2 linked regions of the Arabidopsis thaliana genome follow. The protein of the gene in region 2 interacts with the protein of the main gene of each other region in a pairwise test. Each region holds a gene or a part of one and is shown on either strand. Other genes may lie near its edges. The genes, in order: AT1G43000 and AT1G76880.

Evidence for each region.
Region 1: the proteins of AT1G76880 (region 2) and AT1G43000 interact in a two-hybrid assay, tested with the Arabidopsis thaliana proteins (one large-scale study listed by BioGRID).

The regions. Positions count from the first base shown.
Region 1 is NC_003070.9:16,134,341-16,144,663, reverse strand, and holds AT1G43000 (PLATZ transcription factor family protein), read right to left. Parts: upstream 4,139-10,323; 5' UTR 3,950-4,138; coding exon 3,947-3,949; intron 3,867-3,946; coding exon 3,663-3,866; intron 3,559-3,662; coding exon 3,343-3,558; intron 3,258-3,342; coding exon 3,009-3,257; 3' UTR 2,872-3,008; downstream 1-2,871. Other genes in the region: BZIP60 (basic region/leucine zipper motif 60), read left to right, coding at 7,205-7,641, 8,152-8,602; AT1G42980 (Actin-binding FH2 (formin homology 2) family protein), read right to left, coding at 9,208-9,338, 9,423-9,480, 9,561-9,629, 9,701-9,817, 9,902-9,949, 10,060-10,136, 10,240-10,303.
Region 2 is NC_003070.9:28,859,379-28,871,322, reverse strand, and holds AT1G76880 (Duplicated homeodomain-like superfamily protein), read right to left. Parts: upstream 6,010-11,944; 5' UTR 5,730-6,009; coding exon 5,443-5,729; exon of another isoform or gene 4,917-5,442; coding exon 3,392-4,916; 3' UTR 3,098-3,391; downstream 1-3,097. UniProt on the Arabidopsis thaliana protein: Transcription repressor that negatively regulates root hair growth by directly binding RSL4 promoter and repressing RSL4 expression. Required for the synthesis of seed coat mucilage.

The sequences.
Region 1 (10,323 bases), about 13 Mb from region 2:
AAATTATATGTTATTCCTTTTGATTTTATTTTATAACTAAAAGTTTGTTAGGATTTAAAATAAATTGTTATGTTGTTTATTTGAATTTCCATTTTTTTGTTAAGACAATTTAGATCAATATATATTTCTTCTTTTCTGCTATTTTTTAATTTAGGTGTAGTATTTTGTAGATTCTTTATTTTATTTTTATTTTCCTTTTAATTTTTATTTTTATACTTTTATTATCTAAGACTCATATATCATTGTACTTATAATTTTCATTTTTCTTTTAGTTATGTCAAATTAATTTCTCAACTTTTCTAATTTCTAGGTTGGTTATACACTCACTTCATTTAAGCATATTTTTTTCTTTTATATAAATGTCATCAATTATTTTTATGTGATTATTTAATATATTTTTTGGGTCAACAATTTAAATGGTTAAAGAAACTATAAGAAAAAAAAATAGACATATAGTTGGGGTATTGTTATCAACTGATCATATATATATTTTGTAAACGGTAAAAAGCATAGTTCAATAGTATATTTGTAAAATAATGTAAATAAGATCAAAGTTTGACTGGTGGTTGGATTATAAAAAAAAATTGAAAAATATATGGATTTCCAAAATTACTTTTTTGTGAATTGACATTACTAATAATGATAAGTATGTGGTAAAACATTTGATAACTAAAATATAGAAGTAAAAATTAGTGAAATAAAAACTTTTTCTCAACAAAAAGGTTTAAAGAAATATTATAAGTCTTTTCTCTAGCTAAAAAAGTTATCTATTTTTTCAAAAATATTTTCTCTTACAACAAATTTTGATATACATTTATAAAATTTTATTTTAAAACTTTAAAACCCGTCCATCGGGCGGGTCCTAATCTAGTAATTTATAAATTATACAACATTCAAATAAATTAGGAGAAGAAAATAAGTGACCACAATTGTAAATTCAACTTTAACTTGTGAAGAGTTTGTACAAAAAATTTTTTTATAAACTAATACTCGAGAAATTAATAATCACTATAATTTATAAAAGTTTTTGGTCTTTAGCGAGGCAATATAATATTTAACATAATTCGATAAAATAATAATTTGTTTGAAAATCGTATGTAACTATCTGGTCACATCATTATCATATACTAATAATTGCATAAACTTATCAATATATATATATATATAAGTTTAGTAAAATATGAATTAACTATTATTTGTTTTTTCTTAAATATAGGTATGATCAAAATCTTACCGTAACCGGTTAATTGAGAAAAGATAAGTACTTGAGTAAATCCAATAGAAAGATATAGAACGAACCATCTGGGATGTGACGAGTATAGACTCCAGTAGCACTAAGCGCTAACATTGTATTCTTATTGATTCGATGTGTTTCCGAATGTGTGTATTGATGTTATTGGTCCTCGGTAATTTTATTATATAAGCCAATATTACATAGGCTGTAGGAAAAATTCATAGATTTTAGAGACAAATTTGAAACCCAACACAACTTGATAAACTACTTCATTTATAATAACGAAAAAAAAACTTTTCCTTTTCTTACCCTTGAGACCAACAATCAAATAACTTTGTAACGATAACAATACATTCCAACCAACGATAAAAAGACTCACTTTGGAAGCATCAAGGTATAATTAAAAAGTAAGTTTCTTTATAAGCACGACATCGACACATAGGCTAGAGTTAGTTGTCTATATATTAATACCAGGGAGATGAAATTATGAAAGACTAATAAAAATAATTGTACGCTTTCTCGAGGGTGTCAGAATAAATTGGTTCGGTCTTGTGCAAGGTAAATCCCAAAGTCATGTTCAAATCCTCAAGAACGACCTCGAGGGTGTACAATCCTCAAATGAATATATAAGTGAAGCAAGCATGAGAGGTACAATCCTCAAAGCCAGTGATATTCCAGGACATATCCAGGGTATCTTCTCAATGTCTTTTTATTTTTAAGAGTTACTAATAATTTTTTTTTTAAATTAATACATGCTAGATTTATTTAATTGATCATAACACATGTACTGTTAATTTTTTTTGATTAATAAACATAATTATATATATATATATATATACTTGCCATATGTCATGATCTCGCGAGTTACTAACTTTCTAAACTGTATTTTATATAATAAGATTTGGACCCATGGATTGCCTGATTTATTATGGTTCTTTTTGGGTTTGGTCTAATTTGGATTTGATCCCATTTAGCTTAAACCAATAATGACCAAAAAATAGGGCTGTTCATTTGGACATGAACAGCCCAGTTGACATCTTTAATGGGGCATGAGCCTTGTAATGTATGGGCTAATCCCAATATGTTTGTGTCCACCATATGAACCTACAAAGTCAATAAAAATGAAAATCCTTTGGCAAAATAAAAAATTAAATCGTTTTCTTTAAAAGGAGGTAAACAAGCAAAACATGATTTACCTTCCACAAAAGGAAATATATCTTTGCCCAAAAAATTATAAGATACTCTCACCAAACCCCAAAAACAATGTTGATGGCAAAGTATGACAAATCCGCACCACTACACTTTCTCCATTCTTTATTAAACCAAGCTTATTTTATACCATACTTTTCACATATCCCCTCCATAAATGCCAACTCACTCTCTCACTTTTTAAGCTAAAATGAACATTCAAAAGACCATGAAGGAATCTCCTATAAATATACAAATATGTATTTTTACATCTCCATGTTTTGTAAATGTGATGTGACATTTTAAAATTTTATTTTTCCAAATCATAAAAATAGATGATAGTGCTATAAAAAATAATTAAAGAGACAAAAGTGAGGTAAATAAGGCTGTTTAAAATCATATATTTATAACCCAATATCTATGAAAAAATCACACTTTTGTTCTGTACTCTTATAATCATTAAGCTTGCTACTATTTATGTAAGATGATTCCATTTACTCATTAGTCATTTACCAACACTTTTTGTTTTCTCTTTTCTGATCCTTCCCATATTCTATCTTATATCTTAACTCTTTCATAAAGCCTTTTAGAAAGGTGCTCGTTGAGGTATACCCTTTCTTCTACTCTTCATTGGGTAATTCCGGTGGCTTTCTATTGAAGGTGTCTCTGGAGATAACACACCCGCGGTTTCGCTGCGTTGGTCGTCAACCGCAATCGAGATCCCGTCGATCAAACGGCTACAAATCCCGGTATTGATGATCTTCGACGAGTCATCACTCTTTCCACTATGAAATAAAGTCAGGTTTGGATCCTCTCCATTCTTCACACCTTCAAGCTATTTTAGACCAATAAGAAACAATCAAGAAACCTATATAATCAAACTTGAGTTTGAAGAAAGACCACAACATTGCAGCATTTACCTTACAAGCAAGAGAACAGAACAGGAACGAATCGAGAAGGTTACGAGAACAGATCTGACATGTTTTGTTTAAGCTTTTACCAGTTCGACATTGAGGTCTCGCGTTTAAGAAGAAGATCTTAGCACTATTGATAACATAAGTCTGAATACAAGAGATATCAATATGTTTTTGAATCTCACTCACTCTCACCACATTATGATACGACGATCGTCGAATCTGTAACAACAACAAAAAAAAAACATAGAATTAGGTTCATTAAACAAACGTGTTCGACAAAATTCCTGAGAGATAGATGGGTAATGAAAAATTGAAAACCAAACCTGGATAACACGATGGGTTCTGTGATGAGCGAGACAAGAAGAACAAAAGGCATTGCCTGAACAATCCAAACAAAACAGATTACATTCACTTTTACTCGATTGTGAATGAATCGAACAAGTCACGAAGTAATCAGCTCGAAGCATTGGTGTTAGCCATGGCGGAGTCATTACGTCGTCGTTCTCCATTTTTACAATGGAACTCACCTGAAAATAACACAGACCCATGAATCAATTTCTATAAAATAACATCGATTGAAAAATTCTGAAAAAAACAGAGGAATAACCATTGTTTGGGTTTTGATCTGTTTGACACACGAAACTTAATCTGAGAAACAGAGAAAAAAACAGAGATGGTTACTGAGAAAATGGAGAATATAGCGGCCACAGGTTTGTGTGGGGGTTTACAGAGAGAAGACGAAGAAGAAGAAGAAGAAGAAGACGATGGAGAAATTTATAAGACACTGAAAAGGTCGGCCTTTTTTACTTTTTGTTACTTATTTTTATTTATATTTTCTTCCATATTGTTATAATAACTTTACATTTAGACTCTTTATTTATTTTATAATCTCAAAACCCCCTAGTTTTGTGAAAAAGAGCATTTTTTCTCATCAATTTTGCTTTGGTTTTATTTGGTTTGCTGTATTTAGATCTAGATTTTTATTTTGTTGTCATTTTATTTGGTAGATAATAAATTATTTGTTAAAATTAGTAAAATAAATATATTGACAACAGTTATCTTTTCTGACGCGTGTTAGATATAAGAAAAATAAAATTTATGTAAATAATGTGTTATTAATACCATGATTGACAAATGATTTACTAATTCTTATTGCTTGTGTGATTTTTTTTCATAGTACTCATGTTAATTACTTATCTTTTTATGTTATTATATATTATAATATTTTTACTTATAGGTCCTCTAGTTTTTTTATTTAACTAAAAGCCCCTGTTTTTCCAAAAAATGACTTTGATATAAAATAGCTATATAACATCAATTATATTTGGTAGATAATCCAACAAGAGTTAAAAGTGGTCAAATGATTTTAATGGAAATTATTATTTTTGACGCGTGTCAAAAAGAAAGTGATATTATATCAAATAATATAGTCAAACAAAATAGGAATATCTTCTTAAAACCGTTACGTGAAATCTATACTAAATTTAAAATAAATTTAAAAGAACTTGTGTGAGAAATGAACCACTATATGTACAAAATGTCATATATAGATTTTGATAATAAAATGTCATATATAAATTTTGATAATAAAAACCTAAAGTATAGTTAGGTAGTGATATTACTCATTTTATTTTTGTATAATACAAGCTAAATTTGGTTAAATATTTTTAAGAAAATTATTGCTTTTAACGCGTGTTAAAAAGAAATTTATACTATGTCAAATAATATATCATCAAATAAAATTTAAAATTAAGACATGTGAAATCAATACTAAAATTTAAAAAACGTGATGATAATTAGACTAGGACAATTACAACATTGCACAATTTATATAATTTGAGCTAGGCTAGAAAAAAGTGACTTTGAACTAGGTTTAAATCAAATTCACCTTGGTAGTAACAAAAGTAGAGTAAAACCAAGTAAAATAAATTCACGTTGAATTTAGTTTCCCTCGCTATCATGTTCTTCAAATTTTAAAGATGTTACTTAGGACGTTGGGGAAGTTATTTGAAGTTTGGTGAACAAGGAATTGTAGTACATGTGGTAAGTATTCCCGCTTACATACAAACAAAAAAGTAATATACAAAAGGAAATATATGCTTTACGTAGTTAAATAGCTTTGTTAGAGTCCTCTCTATTAGTTTAATTACAAAATTTGCAATCCTTATATTTCTTCATAGGTATTTAATTAGCATTATAAAAGAACTATATCATAGAAAATATACACTATTAACTTTCGATAAGTGACTTTATGAACCACGTCATTAGATCACAAGTCAGGTTAATACAATTGTCCTAAAATTATAATTAATGTAAATAATGTGTTACTAAAATTATAATTACTAATGCTATTATTGACAAGTTCGGTTGATAAGCAAGTCCAAAATCAAATCTCATCAATCAGACTTCTTGGGGACAAGAGATACGACCTCCAAATTTGGTTTTTGTCCAGAAGTTAAAACTAACATCATCTAGCTTTTTAATATTTCTATTGGTGTTTAAAACTTGTCTTCTATTCGTTTCTAATTGAAATTGCACTTTATCTACTTTTTTTAAAATATAATTTAACATTTTATTGAAAAATATATAATCATCAACTGCTTTTAATGTTAAACTACTTTTTAAGTACTTTTTGAAAAAGTGTAATTATTCACACAATCTTGAAATAATTTTCATCGTAAAACAATTTAATAGATGTTAATGTTGGAAATATATAAACATCAGGAATTTGAGGATGGATCTCTGTATACTCCTCATCCTCTGTATTATATTATTTAGATAGAGATTAATGATAATAAGCTACCAAACCATTAGCTAATTCACTATAGTAATATCTATTCCTATTTTAAGTTATGACTACAAAACATTAGCAAATAAACCTTAAATGAGTATGAAGAAAATAGTAAAATATATTTATTCTTTAAAATACATATAATAACAAAAATAAATTTAGAATTGATACAATTAAAGATAAATAATTAATAATAAATGTAAATCTTACATTAATTATTGAATGAACACATAGAAAATAATTAAATAATAACGTGACATTCATATGAAAATAGTAGATCAACTTTCACATATATAATTAGTTCACTCATCTGCTAGAGAACTGAAAATTTTACAAATTCATTCATGTGAGATTGAATGAAGATTAATCACTCATTTAAAATTGAATAAGGAAGATAATCCAGAATGTAACATAAATTGACAATATAATATATGATTTTAATTAACAAATTGATAACTTTCAAAGTCTAGAAGATGGTCACGAAGGAAGAAAAGTCCTCTCGGAGAACAAAGATTCAATCGTGGAAGATGTTGACGGTGACAAAGAGAAAAAGGGACTGAAGAATTTTGATTGATTTCTGAGAAATGGTCAAAGAAGCCTTGCTCTCCTTGGTCTCATTGTCCATCTCAACTACATGTACATCGTTTTGACTATAGCTAACTGGTTTACATAACTGTACCGAAAATAAGAAAATCAAACCAAGAGAAAAGAAGTGAATTAGAACCGAGTTATTAATCACACGAACACTTCACTGAGTACACGTGTTCGGCTGTGATCCTATTCTTCCAGCTTGAAGCCTTCTCATTGGTTGTGTGACGGCACATAAAAACAATAATCCTCTGCTAACAGAAACACTATAACACAGTACACTCCATCACATCATTGGCTAAAAATTCAAAAAACGCGTCCATAATCAACACGTGTCATGCTGACTCTTTTTCTACACATTTACTTGGTCGCAAAGAAATTTAGAAAAGTCTCAAACACAGTTCCTATATAACTCATCTCTCTTCCAATTTCTTAAATTAAATTCGCTTTTTTTTTTCTTCTTTGTATATTTTTTTTTTTTTGACCATGGCGGAGGAATTTGGAAGCATAGATTTACTCGGAGATGAAGATTTCTTCTTCGATTTCGATCCTTCAATCGTAATTGATTCTCTTCCGGCGGAGGATTTTCTTCAGTCTTCACCGGATTCATGGATCGGAGAAATCGAGAATCAATTGATGAACGATGAGAATCATCAAGAGGAGAGTTTTGTGGAATTGGATCAGCAATCGGTTTCAGATTTCATAGCGGATCTACTCGTTGATTATCCAACTAGCGATTCTGGCTCCGTTGATTTGGCGGCTGATAAAGTTCTAACCGTCGATTCTCCCGCCGCCGCTGATGATTCCGGGAAGGAGAATTCGGATTTGGTTGTTGAGAAGAAGTCTAATGATTCTGGTAGCGAGATTCATGATGATGATGACGAAGAAGGAGACGATGATGCTGTGGCTAAAAAACGAAGAAGGTATATCTAATTTTACTCTTGTTTGAAAAGTTAGGGTTTATGGATGGATTTTGTATGTTTGTGTTGATTTTGGTTTCATTAAGATTGTTAAAAGTGTGTTATGCTTTGAGAACAACATTGAGAACTAGGAGATACGTATGTGTAACAGTGAAGATTTGAGAAACGAGTGTTTAAATTTTGCTTGCGTATCTTGTGATATGTTCATGTTATTATGTTTATGTATGTGTGACGTTGAAGAGTTGATTGATTATGAGTGATGTTGATTTTTGTTTCATTTAGATTGCTATAAGTGTGTTATTGTTTTGATAACAACATTGAGAACTAATCATTTAAGTAAATGACTGTTTAAATTTTGGTTGCCTTTAATTATTGTTAATCTTGTGTTAATATTCATGAGCTGATTATGTTCAAACATAGGTATGTGTATTTTGGTTAACTTAAGATTGTTAAAGCCTTTTATGCTATGAAAAGAAACTGAGGTTTGATAATTGGGATGTGATTGTGGTTCAGGAGAGTAAGAAATAGAGATGCGGCGGTTAGATCGAGAGAGAGGAAGAAGGAATATGTACAAGATTTAGAGAAGAAGAGTAAGTATCTCGAAAGAGAATGCTTGAGACTAGGACGTATGCTTGAGTGCTTCGTTGCTGAAAACCAGTCTCTACGTTACTGTTTGCAAAAGGGTAATGGCAATAATACTACCATGATGTCGAAGCAGGAGTCTGCTGTGCTCTTGTTGGAATCCCTGCTGTTGGGTTCCCTGCTTTGGCTTCTGGGAGTAAACTTCATTTGCCTATTCCCTTATATGTCCCACACAAAGTGTTGCCTCCTACGTCCAGAACCAGAAAAGCTGGTTCTAAACGGGCTCGGGAGTAGTAGCAAACCGTCTTATACCGGCGTTAGTCGGAGATGTAAGGGTTCGAGGCCTAGGATGAAATACCAAATCTTAACCCTTGCGGCGTGACAACGCCTTTTTTAACTGCTTCTTTTGCGCATTTTGAGTTGTAGATGAGTGTCTTTTAGTTTTCTCTCTCTTGTTTTGTATTTCGCTGTTGAAAGTTTTCTGTCTAATATCGATAAGTTAACAGTGAATGTGGGTCTTATGGTTATGGATGATATCTATCTAATAATGCTTCTGCCTTTAAAATGTTGATTTTGAGGCATAACTTCAGGTAATATCACTTCTAATTACTAGATAACAATTCATTAGGTTGATTAACATTGATAAAGCTTTTCCTCATGCTAGTTTTTACATGTTTGCTTCATTTGACATTATCACAGTTTTTTTTTTTTTTTTTTTTGTCATCAGATATTATTTAGGGTTCAGACGAGCCAATCTTTGGGATTGTCACAGAGATTTTTGTTTGTAAAATGTTTGGTACGGATGCGTAGGCAGGTAAAAAAAAACGAACAGATAGTTTTATTAGAACAATGAAGATAAGGTAAAACTTCGAATTGTAAAAAAGTTCAAATATTTTCTAGTACATAAGCACTAGAGAAGAGATGATAGATAGTTTGCAGTTCCATCTAAGCAGCATAGAAGTTGTCGATGAAACTAGCTACGGTTCTTTAGAGGTTCCCATTTTGTTTGATGTTCATTTTTCTTTTCTCCAGTATCTCCTTCTCAGCCTCGGCTTGTCTTTCAATCTCCTCGCGAGACTTGTAGAACGTTTCCACGAAACGGGTCAGGATGTTGGTCGCTGCAGATAGGGAGAATAGCCAGAGTAGAAATGAGAACCGCGAAATGTAGACATGAGTACAATAGACAGTAGATGTGATGGTACCTTCCTTGAAGCGAACACCACTTGGATACTCAGCTATGTAGGAATTTACAAGTCCTCCCTGTGAGTTACAAAGTAAATATAGGTTTTGAGCATGATATACATGTCCTTCAAGGTCTAACCGAGAGTTATATAGGTTACCACTTCTGCGTATAAGATATTTAGCAACTGCTTGTCGCCGTCAATCGTACAAAGAAAATCATGCACCACCTAAAAACATGAAGATCGGATTAGAAGATGCTACAAAGACCTTTTCTTAACTCTTTATTCATGTGGCTTACGTTTCGGTAGCCCACAAAATTAGCACCATCATTTTCTGAAGCTAGGAACTCATCATTCACCTCTTCCTCGATGTCGAATAACTCTTGCATCTTATTAGTAATGGTTTCCAATTCAATCTGTAATTTTCAGCACAAGTAAAGGAGAGTTGGGAACTAGAGCAAAAGAAGCAACCATGAGTTATATCACAACAAAAAGCATACCCTCGATGCAGCTTCTAAGTGAACAAGGTCATTACCAAAATCCAGCAGCTTCGGCATTTTTTCACCAACAAGCTAAACCCGTAAGAAGATAGTTAAGACGTTAAGCAACTTACGCAAATTACCGCATTAACCATATGTTACACAAGAGTATTTGTTACCTTGCAAAAGTCATGCATCAAATACACATTATCACATAACTTAACAAGACTATCCAGTCCACACTCCACATTAGAACCTGCAACACACAACACAAGGCCCACTTACTACATCAACAAATAGATGCTACAAAATATTAAAAGTTATGAAAAATTGGAAATCAATACAACAATACATGATACCTCTTAGAACTTGCATTGTTAAACTTGTTTGCATAATCCGAAACAACTTCACAGATCCCGTTATCTAGTACATGAAATACGATT
Region 2 (11,944 bases):
AGTAAATAATTTATGTGACACGAAATAAATTTTGGGTGGAAAAAATGATTGGAGAACTTATTTATTATTTTTATTTTGGTAAAAAAATCAATTACAAGAAAGCCATTTTTTCACATGGCATTTGTTGAATTTGCCATTTTTTAAACAGTTTGTGAGTTTGCCATTTTTATTTCATCGGAAAAGACAATTTTACCCTTGTTTTGTTGCAAAAAAAATTTCAGAATTGTTCTTCCACAAAGTTAATTTCTCGATCTGGTTTTTCATGACGAGATCTCATGACAACTCCAGTTTAAGCAACACCAAAGGACGAAAGCTTTGAAACTAATCTCTTTATCTTTGAGTTTCGATTTGTCAGGAGAAATTAAAAAACTCAAAGATTTCATGAATATATGATTATAATTTTCAAATTTGGTTTCGATTTGAAGATAATTTAGAAGGTTTGATTAATTCAGTGTTTATAATTAAAGCTCTTGGGTTTATTAATTCAATGTTTATAGTTGAAGCCCTTGGGTTTACTAGACATTATCCCCTTAGGGTTTAATATTTTTTCATTCAAAATCATTGAATGAAATGGTGTTTATGGTGATGACGTTTCATGAATCGGAGACAAAAGTGATGATGTTAATAGAACTAAAACTGAAGGTGGTGATAGAGTTGAAGTAGATGCGTGGATGAAGCCCGACGGTGGTGGTCGGCAAATAATTGTGGTCCGGCAACAAGCAAAAACGAAATGGAAGACAAAGGTTGAAGACAAGGACAAAAACGTAATTGCATTAGGCCTAAAATGGCAAATCCAAAAGCCCATATCAAAAATAGCATAAACAAAAGATTTGGCCAAAAAATGGCAATCTGAACAATAATCGTGGAGAACATTATTTTGAGATACAGCGATAAAATGATGTCCACTTGTTGATTGCTTTACATGTAGGTACTTACTCAGTGCCACAGATTGTTCGAGTTCATTACACATCTATGGTTTAAAATCATCATTACAAAATTTTCCTGGTATATCTTGCAAATTGCAATAACTGTGCAATGTTAACGAGTGATTATTCACAACGAATAATCTATTTATATCTGCATATTTAGTTAAATGATGATACAAATTTTCTTCTTAAGAATCCTGAATCCATACCTACACATTTTCAGTTTCCAGAAAATTTGTAATTCTCTTCGAGGATAACCAGTGCATATGCATTTCTTTCTATCTTACATTTAATTAAAGCCGCATTTTGCTTGGAAAATGTCTAATGTTTGAGTCTTAAATACAGTGAGACGGTGCATCTAATTTGAGTTGCAATAAAAATTTGAGATACAGCGATAATAAGTTCTTGGTCATATCATCATCCTCGCATTTGCTACATGATAATATCAAATGTCATTTGTCATAAGTATAATTATCTTTTTTTTTTGTAAACAAGTATAATTATCTAACACACGAAAAAATGGACTAAGTCAAAATACATCAAACCTCATTAGTCATTACAACTCTATATGTAGACATCATATAGAATTGACAGTAAGTAGGTCGCTCCGTGAGAAATTATTACACACACAATGAAATTGTAAACCTATACAAAAATATCTTGAATTATTTCAAAATAACATCCAATAAACACATAGAAAAATTTATGGACGTATAAATATTTCATAAATCAACTTTCTACATCCGTGGACGGTGGACCTGCGATTTCAATTTTCAATACTCGTATTAAATAAGAATAAATATTTCCTACGAGTCCTTTTCGTGTACTTTAAAGTCTACTTATTGCCTTGTTTGATCATTTTAATCTCGCAATTTCAAACTAGTTTAACTAGCTATTGATATTCTATAATTCAACGGTGCAAAGTAAGACTTGGTTATGCTAGCTAAAAGAATATAAAGTGATTGTTATCTGATCCAAATAAACGATAACAGACACCAAACAAATTAAAGGTGGGCTCACATTATAATGCAAGGGACGAAAAAAGACAACATGCACTTACAAAAAAATGGTAGTTCCTTTCTTCGAAGGTTGGGTAAGATATTGTAGATTCGTGTCTAGGTTTTAAGTAGTCATAGACAAATAATGATAAAAATGAAATATGTAAATACGCACATACACTGATACACACACACACACACACACACAAAAATGAGAAGAAAACAGCTCTTAACCAATCTGACACAAAATAGGTCTCTACATAGAGGTAATTTTCAATGTCGATTAGGTAACAAATTCATAATAATTAATTTAATTAGTGTAGTATATAGCTTGCAAAACATACAGAATAAAAACAGCGAGGATTATTGTAGATATATTTATATATACGATGCTCTTCATTGTTAACATGTGCAAAATCCATAACATCTTGAATGTTCATGAACCAAACAAACCAAACTTTAACTAAAATTTGTGTTCGGTATGAATAGTAATGCTAATTTAAAACAGCTATAATAATCACAATTTGTATGATGTGATAATCCTTGCAGATTTCACGAGCGAGTGTTTATGCACATGTATATTACAAGTAAAGTAAGCATACGTAAAAAACGTTAAAGAGGAGTCACGATCATCGGTAGATACATCAATTTTTCGGTTAAACAGACAGATCAGGAAATGCGACCAAACATGTGTCGATAGTACTTATGAATTAAATTGTGACACAGCGAATCATCATCGGTCTCAAATAAGAGTGTTTTTGTATGAATGGTTGGATCTGTCACGTGCACTCCACAGTAATAATTTACGAAATCACCCTTACAGAAAAAGAGAGTCTTGCGTTTTAGGGCAACGAAGAAGAAGAGACAGAGATTAGATAAAAGAGTAAGATTCCTTTTTTTACACGTGGACCCCAAACCCCACGCTCTCTCTCATTGTGTGCATGTGAACTTGGCATCTTCTTTTTTATTTTTTGTAATAAAATAACATATACTAATAAAGTTATTTATTTATCCTACCAAGGAAACTGTTACTGAAAAAGGATGAGTAACTCTCGTCTCACAGTCCCACCATGTAATTAATTTTTATAATGTAGACAAAACAATAATGGTAATAATATGTACAAAAACAAATAACACATCGTCACCACCAACAAGAACCATTCATTTAAGAAAACATATACAATTACATTTTCTTTTATTTTTATTTGCTTATGAAAACCCCACATTGTCCCCCTATCTTAACATTTTTTATTTATATATCCCAAGGAAAAAATAATTAAATCACAGTTTATTTTAATTTTGTTTTAACATATTAAATCTCTCTTCAGTATAACTTAAAAATCAAAGATGAAAAAAAAAAAAAAAAAAAAACCCTCCAATATTTAAATTCTCATGTTCTGTATCAAAACTTAAAAAAAGATTACTAATCTTTCACCACCAAACCGGTTCGAACTCGAATCATCATCATTACAGATTATTCGTCGTCTTGTTGTTGTTGTTATTGCTAGGCACAAGCTCGAACTCACCTCCTTCCTCTTCTTCATTCTCCTCTTCCTCATCTTCATCGTCGTACTCTTCATCTGTACCTTCTTCATCATCAAAGTTCTGCTCCGACGGCTGAGATTGCTGATCAGGCTGAGCCGCTGCGGGAGTAGTTGTCGCAGTCGTTACAGCCGGAGGCCATTGCTGCTCTGGTTGGACCATCAAGGGAACAGAATTATCCGGTTTAACAAGACCGGAAGATGAAGAAGAAGCTGCAATGTTGTTGTTGCTGTGGAATTTGTTCCTCTCTCTATATAAAGCATCAAGCTGGTGAAAGTAAGGGCAAGTCTTGGAATCTTCGGGACGTTTCTTGTTGCTCTCTTTGACTTTCTTGAAGTATTTGTTTATGTTTTCCCATTTCTCTTTGCATCTCTTTGAGTTCCTGTTGAATCCTAACCTTCTCATTCCCGCTGATATCTCTTCCCACAATGGTCCTTTTGGTCCGTTTTCTTGATATTTCGAATCAAGATTCGTCCTCAGCTTTATCAATGCTTCTATCTCCACTTTCGGCCACCGCGACGAGCTCGCTGAAGCTGCAGGAGTCATATTCTGATCACCACCATTGTCCGTTTTCGTTGTGTCTAACGTCGACACAACCGCTTGAATTGGCTGCGGAAGCGGAGCAGGAGGTTGCGGTGGAGGAGACCGTTGAGGCGGTTGCTGCTGATTGTTGTTATTAAGCTGCATTGATGGTCGAACTTGTTGCGGCTGAGGCTGCGGTTGTGGCTGATTCGGTTGTTTCTCTGACAGTTTTTGAAGAAAGGCCATAACAGCAGCGTCTTTTGCAGCGGACATAGAGCGTTCTTGAGCTAAGATCTCGTGCTCGCGGTTGATTCTGGCAATCTCTTGAACTCTCCAAGACTCTTCTCTAACCAATCTCTCGTGTTCTCGCTTTTCAACAGCTTCCAAGAATTTGCGTTGAAGCTCTTCCTGTTTATCAACTACTTGTTTCATCAACCGCTCGAAAAACACCTTCCATTTCCTCTTCCTTTTCTTCCTTGTAGTCGCAGTTCCACCACCCATCTCCATGTCAGAAGAAGTCGAATAAGAAGACGAAGACGATGTAGAATTATCCGATAGAAAATCACCGGAGATGTTTGGAAACGAAGGTACATTAATCTGCTGAGTATACGGAGGAATTGATGAAGAAGGAAGCGTCGGCATAACTGTCGTTACCGGAGGAGGAGTTGAAAATATGGAGCTGTTGTTGTTGTTGTTGTTGTTGTTGTTGTTGTTTTGCTGTGGTCGAAGAGGCGTTTGTTGTTGATGATGGTGGAGTGAGGTTGTAGATTGAGACTCGAGAGCTTCTAATTGATCAAAGAAGCGATAAGTTTTGCCTTCGGATTTTCCGGTACGACCTTCTTTGGTTCGTTTGTGGTATTTGTAAACGTTCTCGAATTTCTCTTTGCATTTCTTTGCGTTTCTTATGTAACCATGCTCCGCCATTTTCCTATCAGAACCAAAGAAAAAAAAAAGATTCACAAATTCATCAAAAAATTCATGAAGTAAATAGACTAATTTTGTTATGGAAAAAAAGAAAAAGGATAAATATGGTTGAGAAGTGGATCAATCAGCATGAGTTTGTGACAAAAGAGTCTTGCTTTCTCAATCTCATGAATATAACATGACCCAACTTATATTATCTAACTGTTAAATAAAGTTTAAATTTTTAATGAAACCCACTTCAAGAACTGTCCGAATCTGAATCTCACTGAACTATACAAACCAAAAAGACAACTCTTACAAATTCGGCGAAATTCAAGCAAATCCCAAAAGACAAAATTGAACCAAATCTCAGACAATTAACACAGATCTTTAAACAACACTCGTTCAATTTAAAAAAAAAAAACAAGTTTCATAATCATTCCCAATTAGAAAACAAAAAATTCAGAGAAGAAAAAAAGAGAGAGTGGAAAAAGAAGTATACCAAAAAAAGGAAAAGGGAATAAAGAGGAAAGGGAGAAGAAAACGCGAACCTAGAAACCTCTTCCCATAAGGGACCTTTAACGCTAGCGTCTCGAAACGCTATTCCCATGTCAGATCGTATTTTCAACAACGCTAGCGTTTCCTGCCGCGGCCAACGATTTCCTCCAAACCCACGGTCGTGCATCTCTTCCGACACCTCAAACGCCCCAACCGCTGCTGCCGCTGCTTCTGTTGCCGCTGAATCGTTGTTGTTTGATTGTGGCGGTGGTGCTGTAGCAGTTGTGACGGTTGTAGCCGCCGCTGTAGTGGTCGGAGTACCACCACCCAGTTGCATCATCGTTTAATAAAGTTTTTTTTTTTTTAATCTGTTCCTCTGTTTTTCTTTTTTTTCTACTCTCTGTGTCTTTGACGGAGAAGAAGTTACAGAAATGAAAAATAAAAAAGAGAAAAAATAAAAATTTAGAGAAGAAAAAAAAAATGGGAGAGATAAAGAGAGAGAGAGAAAGAGAGAGTTTACATGAGGAAGAAGAGTGAAATCTCTGGGCGCAGGGTTTTATGGTGTTAGAGAGTTTTGTAAATACCTAAGTTAATTTCTTTACTTTATTTTATATTTGTCTGGTGATGAGATCTGCTTGTCAATCTCAAGGAGCCATTCTAACATTTATATATTTCTTTCGATTTATTTCTTTTTTACCTATTTTCTTTTCTTTTTATTGATACTTTTTCCTCTGTTTGTGCCAAAATGGAATCTTCTCAAATTTCTCTCTCCTCTATTTTCCGAGTTTTGGGGTAAATTATTTTTCACTTTGTATTTTCTTACCAAGATTTGTATACTGTAATTGTGGTTTAGATTGATTTTATAGGGGGCTTGTAATTGTAGGTATCATCAAAAATGACCTCATAGGATTTTGTATCAATATATTATTAAATCTGGTAAAGGTGTTTTACTATTTTATATTTATAATAAAAAATTTCTTTAATAATATTGAACCACGGTTACGTATAGTATAATAAATATAATTACTCGTTTTTGGTTAAATTCCAAAATGTGAGGTTATTGCTATGTACTGTTGTAGAAGAAAAAGTTAGTAAAGATTTCAATTGTAAATTTGTTTTGTTAACTACGAGCGTTACGTAAAAATATATTATTTAGTTTTATCATAGATTAAAAAGAAGATAAAATTAAATTTTGAATGATTTTCTAAGATTTGTAAAAATTATGGTTAAAGTCCAAAATGTAAAATTATTGTTGTGGACTATTGTAGAAGAAAAATTTAGTAAAGATTTTAATTGTAAATTTATTTTGCCAACTACGAGCGTTACGTAAAGATATATTATTTAATTTTATTATAAATTAAAAAGAAGACAAAAATAAAATTTTGAATGATTTCAAAGATTTGTAAAAATAAAGTTTAATTGATAAAATTGTTAAATTTAGAAGTTGTAATTCAATAATTTTTTGTAAGTATATTTGATACAATCTATGTAACAAAATGTATGAAAAATAAAGTAAATATATGAAGTAAATTTTGGTTGATTTCAATTTGGTTATAAAAAATGGGTGATGGTTGTAATTGCTACCATGGACTGTTGTAGAAAATTGGTTATAAACTTTTGACTGTATTTATTTTTGATAGCTATGTTACGTAAAAAAATATTATTTATTTCTACTTTAGAGTTTTTAAAAATGAGGTTTGTAAATGAAATATTAAATAAAATTTTCATCCCAAAACATTAAACAAAAAAAACGGAGAGAGTCATTTTCTAGTAGAGCAAAGCTAGAGTAATAGTGTGGTGTTAAAAACCAGAGTTTATCATCATGGGTTGTATATGCAATGATGAAAAAAGTGGGCACAAAAAGATATATACGAAGGAAACTGAAGGATTTAGTTTTTAACCAATAGTTATTTATTACCAAAAAAGAAATTATTGCAGAGATTTATTGACAGCTGGGCACAAAGACGGTGGTGATTATTAGTTGGTTTTTGTCCGTCCAGCTAAATTGTCTTAAAAACCCAGTTTAAAAATCACAAATATTTTAATTCGAAGTTTATAAAATATTTCAAAAAACGTAAGACTATATAATTTTCTCATACTGATGTTTGCAGTAATGAATTCGTATAATGTAAGTTTATAAAAGAAAATATAAACACATTCGACATTCCCATTTTTATTTCAAACAGACATAAGTTATTAAGCTATATGTTGGTTCAAACATTGCTTATTCATTGTTTATGATCTTGTAATGATAAATAATGTGTCTTTGTATAAATCAACAAAATGCTGCAACAGGATAAACATCAATTTAGAAAATAGGGATAATTAACAGGATTATATTTCAAAGATCACAAGTAGAAGAACAAATAAAAAAAGATAGGGGTAAAAGGTAAAAGGTAAAACGTAAAAAAAGTTGGTGGAGATGAGGATGAACTTGCTTTTTGGAACGTATACAGTGGCGGGTGACTTACGTATTATTTGAAATTACTAAATTGTCCCTAACGTGGATCCCATTGACCTTTAATCATTGAGGCTTTTTAAGCTATTAATCTATTTTATTAGCTCTCAACATTTTAAGACTTTAAATCATTAATAAACTAAACCATCCTCATTACTGATCTGGATTTGTCCCCCCTGCAAATTATTTTAATATCAATTCACTACTGATCTTCTTCCACACTCTACAAACACGGGCTCGATTTCAAAATCAATCCAGAGATTTGATGATTTTTTTTTTGTAATAAATTATTGTTATGATACAAAGTAATCGAAATAATAAATATAAATGATGAGAGGATGTTGGAAGGAAAGTGGTTAGATGGAAGTCATTTTCGGGATTGAAGTAAATAGATTGGTGACCATTTCCCGTTTGAGGCCATACATTACATTGCCTCCGTTATTCATTTTTATTTTATATATTGATGGTTTTTGCGTCATCTCAAACCGATTTGACGGCCGTTATTTAACTAAATCAATTATTTAAACACTTAAAACGATGACAACCTAAACCATCAATGTCAATAGTGCAGGGTATTAATTTCTCCCAACGTCCCGTTTTAATTTAACCTACAAAATCTTACATGAAGTTAGGAATAGTTTTACTTTTACCAATATGTAGTTTGGTGGTAAAATCCATCGTTTCTCCAAAGAGGGATATGCATTTAGATGTGATGCGTTCGAACTTGTTTTGGAATGACCTATTTAAGTTCGTGATGGAACCACATATTAACTTTAATTTGGGTCAAAATTTTCCGTATTAACAATAACAAAATATAGTAATATTTTTGGGCCAATCACAACATGAATTTGAATCCCAACATACTACGGTTAACGTAATTTGCGCAAAAACAAAACAAAACATATTCCTAAAATATTAATGGAAACAGATTCGGAGTTGCATGCATTGACAAGATTGCTCTTCTGTATATATAGATAAGAGGTTAGCACAAACAAGTACAAGAACTAAACGACTAGTAAAATGAGACATTCTAGCATAATTACTATAATAGTAATGATTATTCTGCTGCAACGCCTTCATAGTTTGCAGATTTTGCAGTTAGCATAATCGTGATACATAAATCTTTGTCTATTGCATAACGATTATCCATTTAATAAAACAATTTTTGACAATTCTGTATTTTTTAAAAACTATTTCACTAAACTGCATACTTCATCTAAAAGCTGAAAAACTTCTTTTTAGTATATACTATACGAATTTACTAACACGATATATATAGTAACTTGGGGTTATAGTAAAATGTAGATTGTCAAATGCGCAATTTGCGTATAAGACTAATCATCAGCCTACTCAGCATAGCGTTGGGGGTAAAACGATTGGAATGTTCATCGAAATTCACGGCATGATTAGGCAGTAAATGTTAACAGCGTTAGATTCAGATATTTAATGAATTACATGAAAATGTATTGAAAGCTGATATCAGGGACCATCCTTTTGGTAGCTCCTAAAAGCATTGAATATGATTTTTTCTACGAAATTATATAGTAGCCACTCGATTTTCGCATGGCTCGACCCTTAACGTTACAATTTTTATCTTATTGTATTAATAAAGAAAAAGTATATTTTATCTGTCGTGGGTCTTTTTCGTATAGGTGCACTTCGTCGGAGTTGAAAACGACCATTATATATAATAACGAGTCTTAAATAATAATAAAAACATTGCGTACCATTATATAATCTGCATCTATATATGTTCTTTACTAAAATATGTGTTTCACACTATGCTTTTGTGAAAGATGTATATGAAAGGAAAGTGGTGTCTCTTGTTTTTTATAGAGTAAAATGTCACAAAATCAAGCAAAGAGTATAAAAATATACTCTTTGAGTTACATGTGATTATTAATTAATACACAACGTTTATCCGTATAATTTAATTACTAAATACAACATGCGCACAATGATGCATATAAGCGCTTAACTTTTTATTTATCCATAACGAATGATATTATTTATGATTACTTATTTCAAATATGGTGGTTTTACAAATTACAACCCTGCTAAGAGCAGATTAATTACAAATAACAGTTTAAGAATTAGGTAGAAAACCCTAGAAAATATGAACAGAGACATTAGTGTACAAATAACCATAAAATTAAGTAAATCAATTATTGATGGGCCATGGTAATTTTAAGGTGGAGGGAAAAAATGCAAGTGGATTGAGCAAGTAGCCATCTAAAAGACGAAATTACTGCACCAATTACACCAACAACAAAAGAAAATAGAGGTGAAAAAAGTTTGTAGTTTGATCACTTTTTTCTTTTTGGGTTATATCCTTCTACTACCATAAGTTTTAACTATCTTTAATGTTGTAATTTTATCTTTCTACTACAATAATTTTACATTTTGACTTCCAATGACTATTGCGAAAATAGAAATAAAACGTTTGCAATTACTCCACTAGTCACACCATAAAAAAAAATTAGAGGTGAAAAGAATTTGTAGTTTGATCACGTTTTTTGTTTTGATTTTAACTTTATCCTTCTATTTTCATATTTTTTTGTTTTTAACCTTTTTACTCCCTAAAACTATGGCGAAAATACAAATAAAAGCATAACTATGTAGTTGTACTGAACTCAACTACTATTTTTTCAGAGGTTTTAAACTTAGCAGACAATTTCTACGATCAGCTTTAGTAAATTACCATCATTACTCACACGACTGCATCTGCACGGAAAATCATACACATATATACACACACATATGTATGTGTGTGCACGGAAAATCACAAAATATGTGTCAGCGTCTGTGAAAAATCACAAATATGTGTTGTGTGCTCCGAACTAATTAATCTCCTCTAACTCATTTTCCAACGTGGCATTAGTGTACAAGAACTATGTAATTACTTTTACTTAATCTATAGTACTTGTTTTCATTGTTTTATTAACTACACTAGCTAGTAATTCGAATTTAAATTATGCCAGCTCAATCAGTTTTCCAAATAACCTTAATCTTACTATTTGCATAGGTTGAAGATAAAATCCGTAGTGGACGTATACAATTTATCTGTATATGTCATCTGCATATCTGTTGATTTCATTTTTTTATCTTCACAAATCATGAGATATATAACGGCGGGTTTTGGATTCATGTGAAGGTGCTTCGCTGTCGTAATTTGTATTCTCCTTTTTTATATTGATTCATTCTTAATTATGGTTCTTTCTATCAATTATGATTATGAATGATACGGTTTAGGTGCGGTTCATTTCGATTTATACAACCGACAAAATTATAAGTTGAAATAGAACCGACATTATACAAATATGCGGTTTAGTTTGCTTAATATATAGTTATAGCTTTCTTAATAAATAATTGTACCACTAAACTTAGATACAATGTGAAAGATAATGGATTGTATGAAAGACTGATGAGGATGATGATTAACGTGTCTACATCAGTAGATATAAATATTATATAGTCTACCTAAATTTCATGGAGCAACATAGATATAATAATATGTACTTAAGGATTCACAAATCACCCGGAGGATATAAATATATTTGTATAATAATTTAAAATAATAAATTAAATAAATCGATTCTGCCGCAAGAAAAATTATACGAGTAAGTAAAGCTAGCAATTAACTTATAGTAGAGTAGAGATTTGATTAAATACTAAACAAATAAAAGGTTGATACAAGCTGGGTCCACTAATTAAGAACTTCAAAAGTGTGATTAAAATCTTGGGATTATTTTTGAAAAAGTTGGTAGATCCATAAAAAAAAACTTTGCTATTTTCAACCATCCGTTTTAAACAGGGACGAGAGAAATAAAGTGAAAGTCAAATTCACGATGAATATGATTAGTTACATAATTTGATTGATGTAAATTGTGAATTCGGTGAGAAAAACAAAGAAAGGGGTAAGAAATAGAAATAAGAAGAAATTAAGGGGTTGAAAGGAAATATAGAAAATCACATGGGAAGGGAGAGGCATGTGGGATGAGTTATCTACGCCACTTTCATCTTCCCATGTGATTTTTACCTCTCATTTTTTCTGTCTCCAGCTCATCTTTTTTTGTCCCTAATTTCCGATTTTTATT